Linked DNA regions of Caenorhabditis elegans. The protein of the gene in region 2 interacts with the protein of the main gene of each other region in a pairwise test. Each region holds a gene or a part of one and is shown on either strand. Other genes may lie near its edges.

Region 1 (4,868 bases), on a different chromosome or scaffold from region 2:
TGGGCGGGGAGTTCTCTTTTTGGAGGGAATATAACCGAATTTTCACCAACCAATCAGCGCCTTCGAACTCCGCCCACTCCATCTGATTGGTTGGAAAGTGGGCGGAGCTAATCGCTGATTGGTCGCAGTGTAAATTGGGTTTTTGTGTTTTTTTTGGGAAAAAATTCGAAAAAAAAACAAAAAACACCGATTTTTTCCAATTTTAGACAAATTCCCACTGCGACCAATCAGCGATTTGCTCCGCCCATTTTTCAACCAATCAGATGAAGTGGGGGGGGGGGGGGGGGGGGGGTTTCGAAGGCGCTGATTGGTCGGGTAAAGTTTCATTTTGGAGGGAATTCAAAATTGATTGTTTTTTTCGCTTTTTTCCTATTTTCGTAATGAAAAAAAATTTTTTTTTTGTAAGTTGCGACGGTTCAACATTTTTAAGAAAAAAGACAAAAAATTCAAAAAAAATCTGCGACCAATCAGCGATTAGCTCCGCCCACTTTTGAACCAATCTGAAGAAGTGGGCGGGAGTTCTCGTTTAGGCATCTTCAAACTCCGCCCACCTCACCTGATTGGGCGAAAAATGGGCGGAGCGAATTGCTGATTGGTCGCAGAAAAATTCGAATTTTTCGTTCTTTCGCATATTTTTTTTTTGAATTTTTTGTCTTTTTCATTCAAAATTTTGAATCGCCGCCACTTTTTTTGGTTGAAAAATAATTTTTTTTTCCTTAGGAAAATAGGAAAAACGCGAAAAAAACAATCATTTTTGAATTCCCTTCAAAATGAGACTTCACCCGACCAATCAACACCTTCGAACTCCACCCACGTCGCCTGATTGGTTGGAAAGTGGGCGGCGGAGCGAATCGCTGATTGGTCGGGGCGATTTTTTGCTCTCACCTCGCCGTCTTCTTGTTCAACAAATGCCTACTAATCCGCCTTGGCTTCACCCCATTCCGAATAACCTTGATAATTCGTGGAAACACGAAATCCGTATTCTCATGACACGGCTCTACGACACTCAACGCCAGCTTCTTCGTCTCCAAGTGTCGATTGTATCGATTGGCAAGTGTCAGACGCCAACTTGGCTCGGCGGCTCTCGAATAATCGACCGGTTTGAAAGCGTCGGTACTCGAACACACATAACCACCGCCGTCTTCGAATTGATCTACGGAAGTGATGCGTTGAGCGCCGTCGATCGTGAAAATGTGACGGATTCCGTGTGGAAGAGCCGTCGAGTCACAGATTACAGTTTTCATCAAATCTTCCATAAGTGGTTGCATACTCTTCACCCGGTCACTTTGTAAAGCATACTGAATCCCTTTGAAATATTGATCCCCATTTCTATAGAACCGGAGTCGCTTGGCTTTCAGTAAATGCGGATACCCGGATGGCCCGATTCGACACCTCCGCTGCATTTCTGAGACCATATCCCTGGACTCTGCGAGCTCATCTCCATTCGTTCCCTCGGTTTCCATGGCACATACGGATGACGTCATTGACGCTTCCGCAGTGTTCGTGCCACTATTCGGCATGCTTCCCTGGGAAATTGCCGTTGGGAAGACGCTTGTCTGATTGAGATTAAGAGTCGATGCTCGTGGAGTTGTCAGTGTTTCTTCACTGATCACTGCGGTCTGATTGTGATGAATATGATGGTGGAAGTGTTGTTGAGGAAGATGCGAGAATCGACGATGTGCGGAGGATGTTGATGGAGCAGATGATGATGGACTGATCTTTCTATGAACAACTGGAGATGATGATGATGTCAAGACTGCGGAGAGAGGACGTGTCGAATGAGGGAGATGGGCTGGAAATTAGGATTATATTACACGGGAACACAAAAAAATATTTAACGCGCAAAATATCTCGTAGCGAAAAGAAAACTACAGTAATTCTTTATATGACTACTGTAGTGTAGATTTACAGGATCTCGATTCTTTAGATTCAATTATTTTCGAATAGTGATAACGATCAAGGGTGTCGGTTTTTTCGATTTTTGAAAATCGAAAAATCGATATTTCGAAATTTTTTCGATTTTTTAAAAATTCGCTTAAACTTTGATCATTGTTCTTATTTTTAGATGTTCTTTATCATGAATATATAAACAAAATTAGATTTTTAAAAAATCATATCTTATGGGTAATTTTCTGAATTTCGGAAAATAGAAAAATCGAAAATTTTAGGGGCCGCTTTTTCCGGCAAATCGGCCAATTTGCGGAAAATTTAAAATCCGGCAACTTTCCGATTTGCCGGAAAATTTAGGGGCCATTTTTTTCCGGCAAATCCGGCAATTTGTCGATTTGCCGGAAAAATCGTTTTCAACAGTCTGACGGTATTAATCATTTTTTAATAGCTTTTTACAAATAAAAATGTCTCTTTTTTCAAGTTTTCAACTCAGTACTATTGAAATTAAACAATCTATCCGTGAATTTTGCAAAAAAGCAGCATCGCACCGAAAAAGAGGCGGAGTGTAATTTCGTAATTTCGCAACCTTGCGGCACGGTTTTTTCTCTATTTTTTATTTGTCTTTTTTCGAATGAAAGTATTACCCAATTTACTTATTATTAGATTGTGAGGATATTTCATGGTTGTAAAAAAAATGAAATTAATCGAAAAAAAAAATTCAGAAAAAAAGGAGAAAAAACCGTGCCGCAGGGTTGCAAAATTACGCTCCGCCTCTTTTTCTGTGCGACGCTGCTTTTTTGTTGCAAAATTCACGGATTCATCATTAAAAAAAACCATATCCCGTAAGCTGAAGCAAGCAAGCCACCAACGGGGAAATTCAAGCCAAACACTCAATTCTTACGTCGTTTGAATCGTGGAATATTCGACGTTTTTCCAGCAGCGGAAACCCTCTTCGATACACGTGGCAATGTGTTGGCTCCATTCATAGATGCTCCATCCGATCCTCCAGCTTCAGATCCAGGTGGTGGTGGTGGTGGTGGTGGTCTAGCAGTTGTGTCGTTGAGCTGCCACGCCGACGTTTGTGGCATCGTTCGAGTAGAGATAGTCTAACACCGAAAAAAAACACCAAATTAGCGATAGTTAGGCGCAACCACGAGAGGAGGACGGAGCGGTGTCAGGCCGTCCCATTACGGTTTGATCTACCAAAAATGCGGGAGATGAGACGCAGATTTCTCAGCTGATTTAGCATCGAATGAGAGTGTACTGACGTCACATTTTCCTGGGGGAAAGTTCCCGCATTTTTTGTAGATCAAACCGCAATGAGACTGCCTGACACCACGTGGGGATATACCACGTGGCAACAGGCCGTCCCATTACGGTTTGATCTACCAAAAATGCGGGAATTTTTGGCCCAAAAAATGTGACGTCAGCACGTTCTTAACCATGCGAAATCAATTGAGAAATTTGTGTCTTTTCTCCCGCATTTTTTGTAGATCAAACCGGAATGGGCCTTGGATATGAAAAAGAGAAAGGAATGCAAAATCAAAAGATTGGACAGAAAATGAACTAAAAATCGAGGAGGACAATTCCAATCGGGTATGGTGCAAGTGCTATAGACGGGAATTAATCTTTTTTTTTGTTATTTTAGAAAAACAATTTTTTTTTCTGAAAAAAAAGTGGAAAATTCAAATTTTTTTGAGATTTTCTGAGCAAAATTAAAGTTTTCTGGGAAAAAAAATTTTTGTCGGGGATTCAAATTTTCCGAAAAAAAATTTGGCGGGAAATTTAAAAATTTTAGAATTTTTTGGCGGGAATTCAAATTTTCGGAGAAAATATCTATTTTGGCGGGAGATTCAAATTTTCTGTGAAACAACTATTTCGTCGGAAAATTCAATTTTTTTTCGAGAAAAAAAACCTATTTAGGCGGGAAATTCAAAATTTTTTTAATTTTTTTTTGGCGGGAAATTCAAATTTTCGGAAAATATCTATTTTGGCGGGAAATTCAAATTTTCCGAAAAAAAAATTTGGCGGGAAATTTTTTTTTATTTTTTCGAATTTGTTTTGGCGAGGATTCAAATTTTCTCTTAAAATAATTTTGGCGGGAAATTCAAATTTTCTGAGAAATTTTTTTTTTCGATTTTTTAAAGATTTTTGAAGCAAAATTTCCATCAGGCTGTCCCATAACGGATTGATCTACAAAAAATGCGGGAATTTTTCGCCCAAAGAAATGTGACGTCAGCACGTTCTTAACCATGCGAAATCAGTTGAGAACTCTGCCGCATTTTTTGTAGATCTAGGTAGATCAAACCGAAATGAGACGCCACGTGACACCAAAAAAAAGGAGATAATTTTACTATGCTATGACTAGCTGACAATTCGAATCATTGTCCAAAATGAGCTGTCCGCGAGCATTGGTCTCCAAAATGCATGGAATGTCGAATGTGGGAATTAACTAGGCGTGCACACAGAGAGCAGTGAGCAGTGAGCTGCTTCTCGTTTTCCTCTCATTCGAAAGAGCTAAAGGGCAGACGGGTGTTGTTGTGGGTTGATTTGGCTGACGGGAGGGGCGCGCGCGAGCCAACGCAGAGCCGGGGGACGGAATAGACGAGGGATTAGTTAGGGGGTATCCGGAGGGACCACAGAGCCAATTAAACAGCTTCTCATTTGTGCAGCGCCACCTGCGTCTCCGCCGAAAAAGGTGCGGTTTGTGATAAGAATATTACACGGATTTCTGGCTTCCCTCCATAAATTGAAATGGAAGAGTTTTTTGCCGAACTAGGCCAGGCCAAATCTGGGGTAGATTTACGTTGCGTTGCGTGTCGCGTCGCGGCTCGATTGTAAAACTAAATGTATTTGTCCGTGTGGAGTACACGACTTTCCCACGCGTTGTCCGGCAGGCGATTGTCAATGGAGCGCGAAAAATTCAATGAGGAAGGCCAGAAGCCCGTGATACTGAAGGTGAGGTAGTGTGAATGGGG
Region 2 (4,931 bases):
TTTTAGTGTAAAATTTGAAAAAAAAAGCACACACAATTTCATTTTTTCTAAAAAAAATCCAGCAAAAAAGGTTACCTCCATTCGATCGAAGATGTGGTGAAAGTGTGGATATTTGTGGTGACGAATTGTACGAATGATGATGATTATCAGTTGGCATTGTGAACATTGCACTACGAAGACTTTTTGCAACGATCTCCTCGTTCGGAGATTTCATGTCGTTTGATACTACTGAACAAAAAAGTTTTCAATGTGAAAAGTGCGAAATTTATGCCATTTTAAATAATATTTAAATTAAATACGTTGATGTGTTCTTGGAAAATGTATTTTATAATTTTTTGAAAAAAATCGGCAGGAAAACTGATTTTTTTCAAAATAAGAGAGCAATATTTTCTAACAGAAATCTAGATTTTTCTTAAATATTCAAATTTCAAAAACTAAATTTATTTTGTTAGCGTTTTTCAGCTTATTTTTCAGCAACTTTTCGTTGGTTAAAATTTAAAATTAAATGTTTATAAAATCTTTAAATTTCTATTTTAAGTTTTCTAGCACTTTATAGCTCGATTTTTTCCATAAAGATCTCAAATTTCAAGCAAAAACCCCAAGTTTCAACCTAAAACCCTCTTAAATGAGTGCTAAACAACCTCTAAACGGATAAAAATGTTAGTGTGCAGTCAAGTGAGAGAACATTCAACACAACAGAAAAACACAGTACTACCGGGTGGCCTGAGGAGGAGGGTGCTAACGCAAATAAAAATGTGTGAATGGAAATTGATAGAAAAAAATGTGGTGGCGGTGGAAAAAGGATAGATAGAGAGACAGAAAACATTCCCTATTATAACTGTGCCGATCGCCTCCGGGAAAGCATTCTAGAAATGAAATTTGTTTCGGGTTTTTCTTCGAATTTTGTGCAATTCGAAGCTATTCTAAAGAGTAGAGGGACTTAAAAGAATTTTCCGATTTTTTGGCTTTCATACTTAAGTAGACTGAAAATGGCTAGAAACGGCCGAACATCATAAGGAGATTTTTCAAAATTTCAGTTTTTTGGGGGCGGAAATTTCCAAAAAAGGGCTAAATATTGCTTAAGTTTAGAATTTCGCAAAACTTTTCAGTGTCAGAGGCAGGGAATCAGTTTTTTTTTCATTTTTTGTATATTTTGGTGATCTAGTTTGTTGATTTAGGTTAGCAATTATTTTTTTAAAAAACACTTTTATTGAAAAAAAAACCATAAATTGGAAAATATATTGTTTGAATTATAAAACCTCAAGTTTTAATCCAAAAATATGGAAAAATCAGTTGTTTCGATTTTAAAACACTTTAATTTGAAAAAAATTTCAATTGTCCGTGTTTTAAGGACTAAAAACTTGGTAAGAAAATTGCAAAACAAATTGCAAACATTCTGATTTATCAGGACAAAAACATGCAATTAGTCATCAAGATCGTGAGCGTTTCTTTTTTTTGAAAAAAATTAGCCATATGTTTTTATCGGTATGTTTTAATTTCTAGAAATTTTATAAAAACAATTTTTCTGTTTAGAAAAAAGGGTTAAAAATCAATGGAAAATCGTAAAAATTGTGAGATTTCTTCTTCTTCTTTTCGAAAACTTTTTGCATCCAATTAAATCCAGATGTTTCATTTTTTTTTCGTTTAAAAATTTCAAAAGCTCACCAATAAATTGTTCTTCATCAACAACCATCACTTCATCATCATTTTCATTTGGTTTCTTCTGATTCTCTTTTTCATCAGTAGTCATCATTACAGTTTCTTCTTCACTTTCCTCTACATCAGTGCTCTCCATTCGTTCAATTGGAGCTGTTTTAAGCATTCGAATAGCTGTTGGTGAAGACTCTTCTGACGTTTTTCGTGCCAAACTACCACGTCTTTCGATTTGGCTTGTTGAAACTGGAACTTTTAGAACATTGGAATTAAAAGATAGAAAATTATGGAAAACAGTTTTTTCTAATTTTTTAGAGCTAATATTCAAGTGATTTCTATAAATTGAGCCGAATATTCCAAATTTTCAGCTTTTTTTTTATAGTTTTCAGAGTTTTCAGAGAATTTTTTCAGAAATTAAATATAAAGTTTTCAGGTAAGCTGTTCTGCTGACACTTGCACCTTTTTTAAGCTTTCAGAAAAATTTTTCACAATTTTTTTTGTATTTTTCGTCGGAACTGGAACTTCGGGCACATTATATATAACTTTTAAGCCAATTTGAGTATAAAATGCTTTTTTTTTTAATTTTGCAAAATTTCAAGCGATTTTTACGGAAATCTCAGCTTTTTTTGGAGAATTTCTCACATTTTTTTCGCAAAAGCCGTAAAGTGTTACCTGGAAGTCTTGACAGTTTCTGGGCCGCCGCTCCGTTTCGATTCATCGATGGAAACGAAACTCCCGCAGAGGCGGTGGCTCTTGACAGCTGATGTGGGTGAATGCTCGATGCAACTGTGGTACCTGGAGGCAGTTGGTCGCCGAGAAGCTGAAAAAAGAAGGGAAAAGGTTAAGAAGAAACACTTTTTTTCACTCAGGAGGGAGGGATGAAAAGATGAGGGCATTTTAAATTTATTGGAAAACCACAACTTTTATGCCTAAAAAATTTTTAAAAAAAATTTTGAAAAGAAATTTCAGTTTGAGGCCTCAAATCGCAGAGCATTATTTCAGAAAAAAAATATATTGAAAAATAGTTTTTTTTTTAATTCTTCAAAAAGGTCTTTGGAACATTTTAATGACCGAGAGCTGGAAAAATGAGAAAAGTTCAACTGTATACATTTTCCAAAAACCAAAATTTTTGCTATTTTTTGGAAGAAAAACATTTGAAATTTTTAATTTTTTCTAAAAATCAAATCCAAACCTTTGCATAAGTGCTCGAAACGTTCCGATTAAGAGAAATGAGCACATCACCGGACATTACAAAAGCCTCGGACTTTTTGACATTCCGGCGAGGGGCTCCATCAATGGTGGCCAGTGCCTCTTCGGCTCCCGACGACGCCACCTTCGCCATCACTCTGAAAACGAGATGATTGTAGAATAAAAAACGTTTGAAAAAGTATAGAAAAGGTGTCAAGAGGTATAATATTTCGATGACGAATTCAACAATGACCATCAGAGTGTTTATATAAACACGTGATGGAGGTGAGTTTATTTTCAAAATATTCACAAGCGGAAGCAACAAAAAAACACTTCAGCACCGTAAATTTATTCGAAAAGTTCCCTTTTGATTTTAGCATTAAAAAATAAAAATTTGGAGGAGAATTTGATTTTTTTATAAGAAATTCACAACTTTTCGGGCTAAAATGCTTAATTTTGGGCCACTTTCGCTAATTTTTTGTGTATTTTTTTTTCAAATTTCCTTATTTTTTAATGTAAATATTTTATAAACTAAAATGGTGTTTATTTAAGTTTTTTAGCATTGAGCATGAATAAGAGAGAAATTGATACAAGATGCTTTGCGAAAAAACACCAAAAATCGAGAATTTTAGATCAAAACTATAAAAAAATAAATGCACACTTCTTCTCACGGAGTACACGAGCTGCGTAAATCGACAGTCTCAAAGATTACGAAGTTTGAAAGTTTGTGCTGACAGTAAAAGATTTTTAGAAATTGCGATAAAATCGCTTTCTGGAAAAGCAAATTTTTCCGAATTATCTAGATTCTTACACTCAATTCGAAAAAGTACAAATCTTTTCAACAAAATCATAAAACTCTGCACAGCTGTTACCACCGGGACGACGTCACACCTCATTCGTCTCCTCCTCCTCCTCTTCCATCACCTCCCTGTTTGCCCATCAGATTGTAGTGTTGTATAATAAAATTCGAGATAGACAGAGAGAGACAGAGAGAGAGAGAGAGAGAGAGAGAGACCTGGTGTGGAACTAAACGTCCATTCCTCCCCGCTGTGCAGAAGACAACAACTGGTCGACTCCCGAAGGTGCGTTTTGAGCAATCTCGCGAAAAGCTGACAGTTGCGCGGAAGGATGGAACACATATTTCCGCCGCGCACACTGATCAGTCAGTTAACAAATATTGTCTCCAGAACGACGCACCCCAGAGAAAGTGATTAGGCGGTAAGGAGGGTTTTCACACCTCACCCCCGTATCATAAAGTTTCTACGGAAGATTAGCGTGATTTGGAGCTGAATTGTATGAAACTAGAAGCTCCAAGAAGGTTCTTGACGTTCCAAAACGTGGGAAGGTCGGAAAAGCGATACTTTGTGGAATTTGGAACGAAAAACTTATTTATGCGAGTTTGTTGCATTAAAGCTATCGAAATTTGCACAGGAATCAGCAATTATAGCGATCAACGATTTTTTCAAAGTTTTCGACAATTTCGATTTCAGAAAAATCGAGCTATACTGAAAACTTTCCAAGATAGATGACGCTAAACCAATTTCGATATAAAGCCAAGCTAAAGCAATTTTTAGCTCTCGTATGTGGTGCGAGGCTTTCCGATTAAGGTTTGATCTACAAATAATGCTGCAATTTTGCCCAAAAAATGTGACTCTTCTCCCGCATTTTTTAAAGATCTACGTAGATCAAACCGAAATGAGCCATCACGTGCTCTCGTCGGCAAAAACGAAAGTACAACGGAACGAGTATTACAACTCGAAGGCGAAGAAGAATCTCCATTGGATAATTGGTCCCTCGCAGAAAGATGAATGGACTTAGAAAACTACGGAGTACGAAACAATTTGGTCTACACCTATTGTTTCAGAATGTTTTCTGTAAAACTAGCGATTTTGTGTAAAATCGAAAGGCGAGGAGACACACAACGAAACAACTGGCAATATAAAACTCGATAAAATTGGCGAGATCCTCTTCTCTTGACCCTAATAGGCTAATCCACTTGATGCCAACACCAACCACGAATGCAAAGTTTTCGATAGAAAATGTCGAACTAACAGGTGTGCACACAAAACGGCGAACGTTTATGACATTTC

The links. Proteins that work in one complex are often made in the same cells at the same time.
Region 1: the proteins of efa-6 (region 2) and zyg-8 interact in a two-hybrid assay, tested with the Caenorhabditis elegans proteins (one study listed by BioGRID).

The regions. Positions count from the first base shown.
Region 1 is NC_003281.10:12,059,849-12,064,716, reverse strand, and holds the start of zyg-8 (Serine/threonine-protein kinase zyg-8), read right to left. Parts: upstream 3,005-4,868; 5' UTR 2,979-3,004; coding exon 2,792-2,978; intron 1,793-2,791; coding exon 886-1,792; intron 1-885. UniProt on the Caenorhabditis elegans protein: Probable kinase. Kinase activity may be involved in positioning of spindle poles in meiosis and mitosis. Plays a role in spindle positioning during asymmetric division of one-cell stage embryos.
Region 2 is NC_003282.8:12,611,725-12,616,655, forward strand, and holds the start of efa-6 (Exchange factor for Arf-6), read right to left. Parts: upstream 3,001-4,931; 5' UTR 2,996-3,000; coding exon 2,846-2,995; intron 2,474-2,845; coding exon 2,326-2,473; intron 1,906-2,325; coding exon 1,666-1,905; intron 229-1,665; coding exon 76-228; intron 1-75. UniProt on the Caenorhabditis elegans protein: Guanine nucleotide exchange factor for arf-6. Involved in response to injury in mechanosensory neurons. Inhibits axon regrowth via microtubule dynamics, possibly by inducing axonal microtubule catastrophes.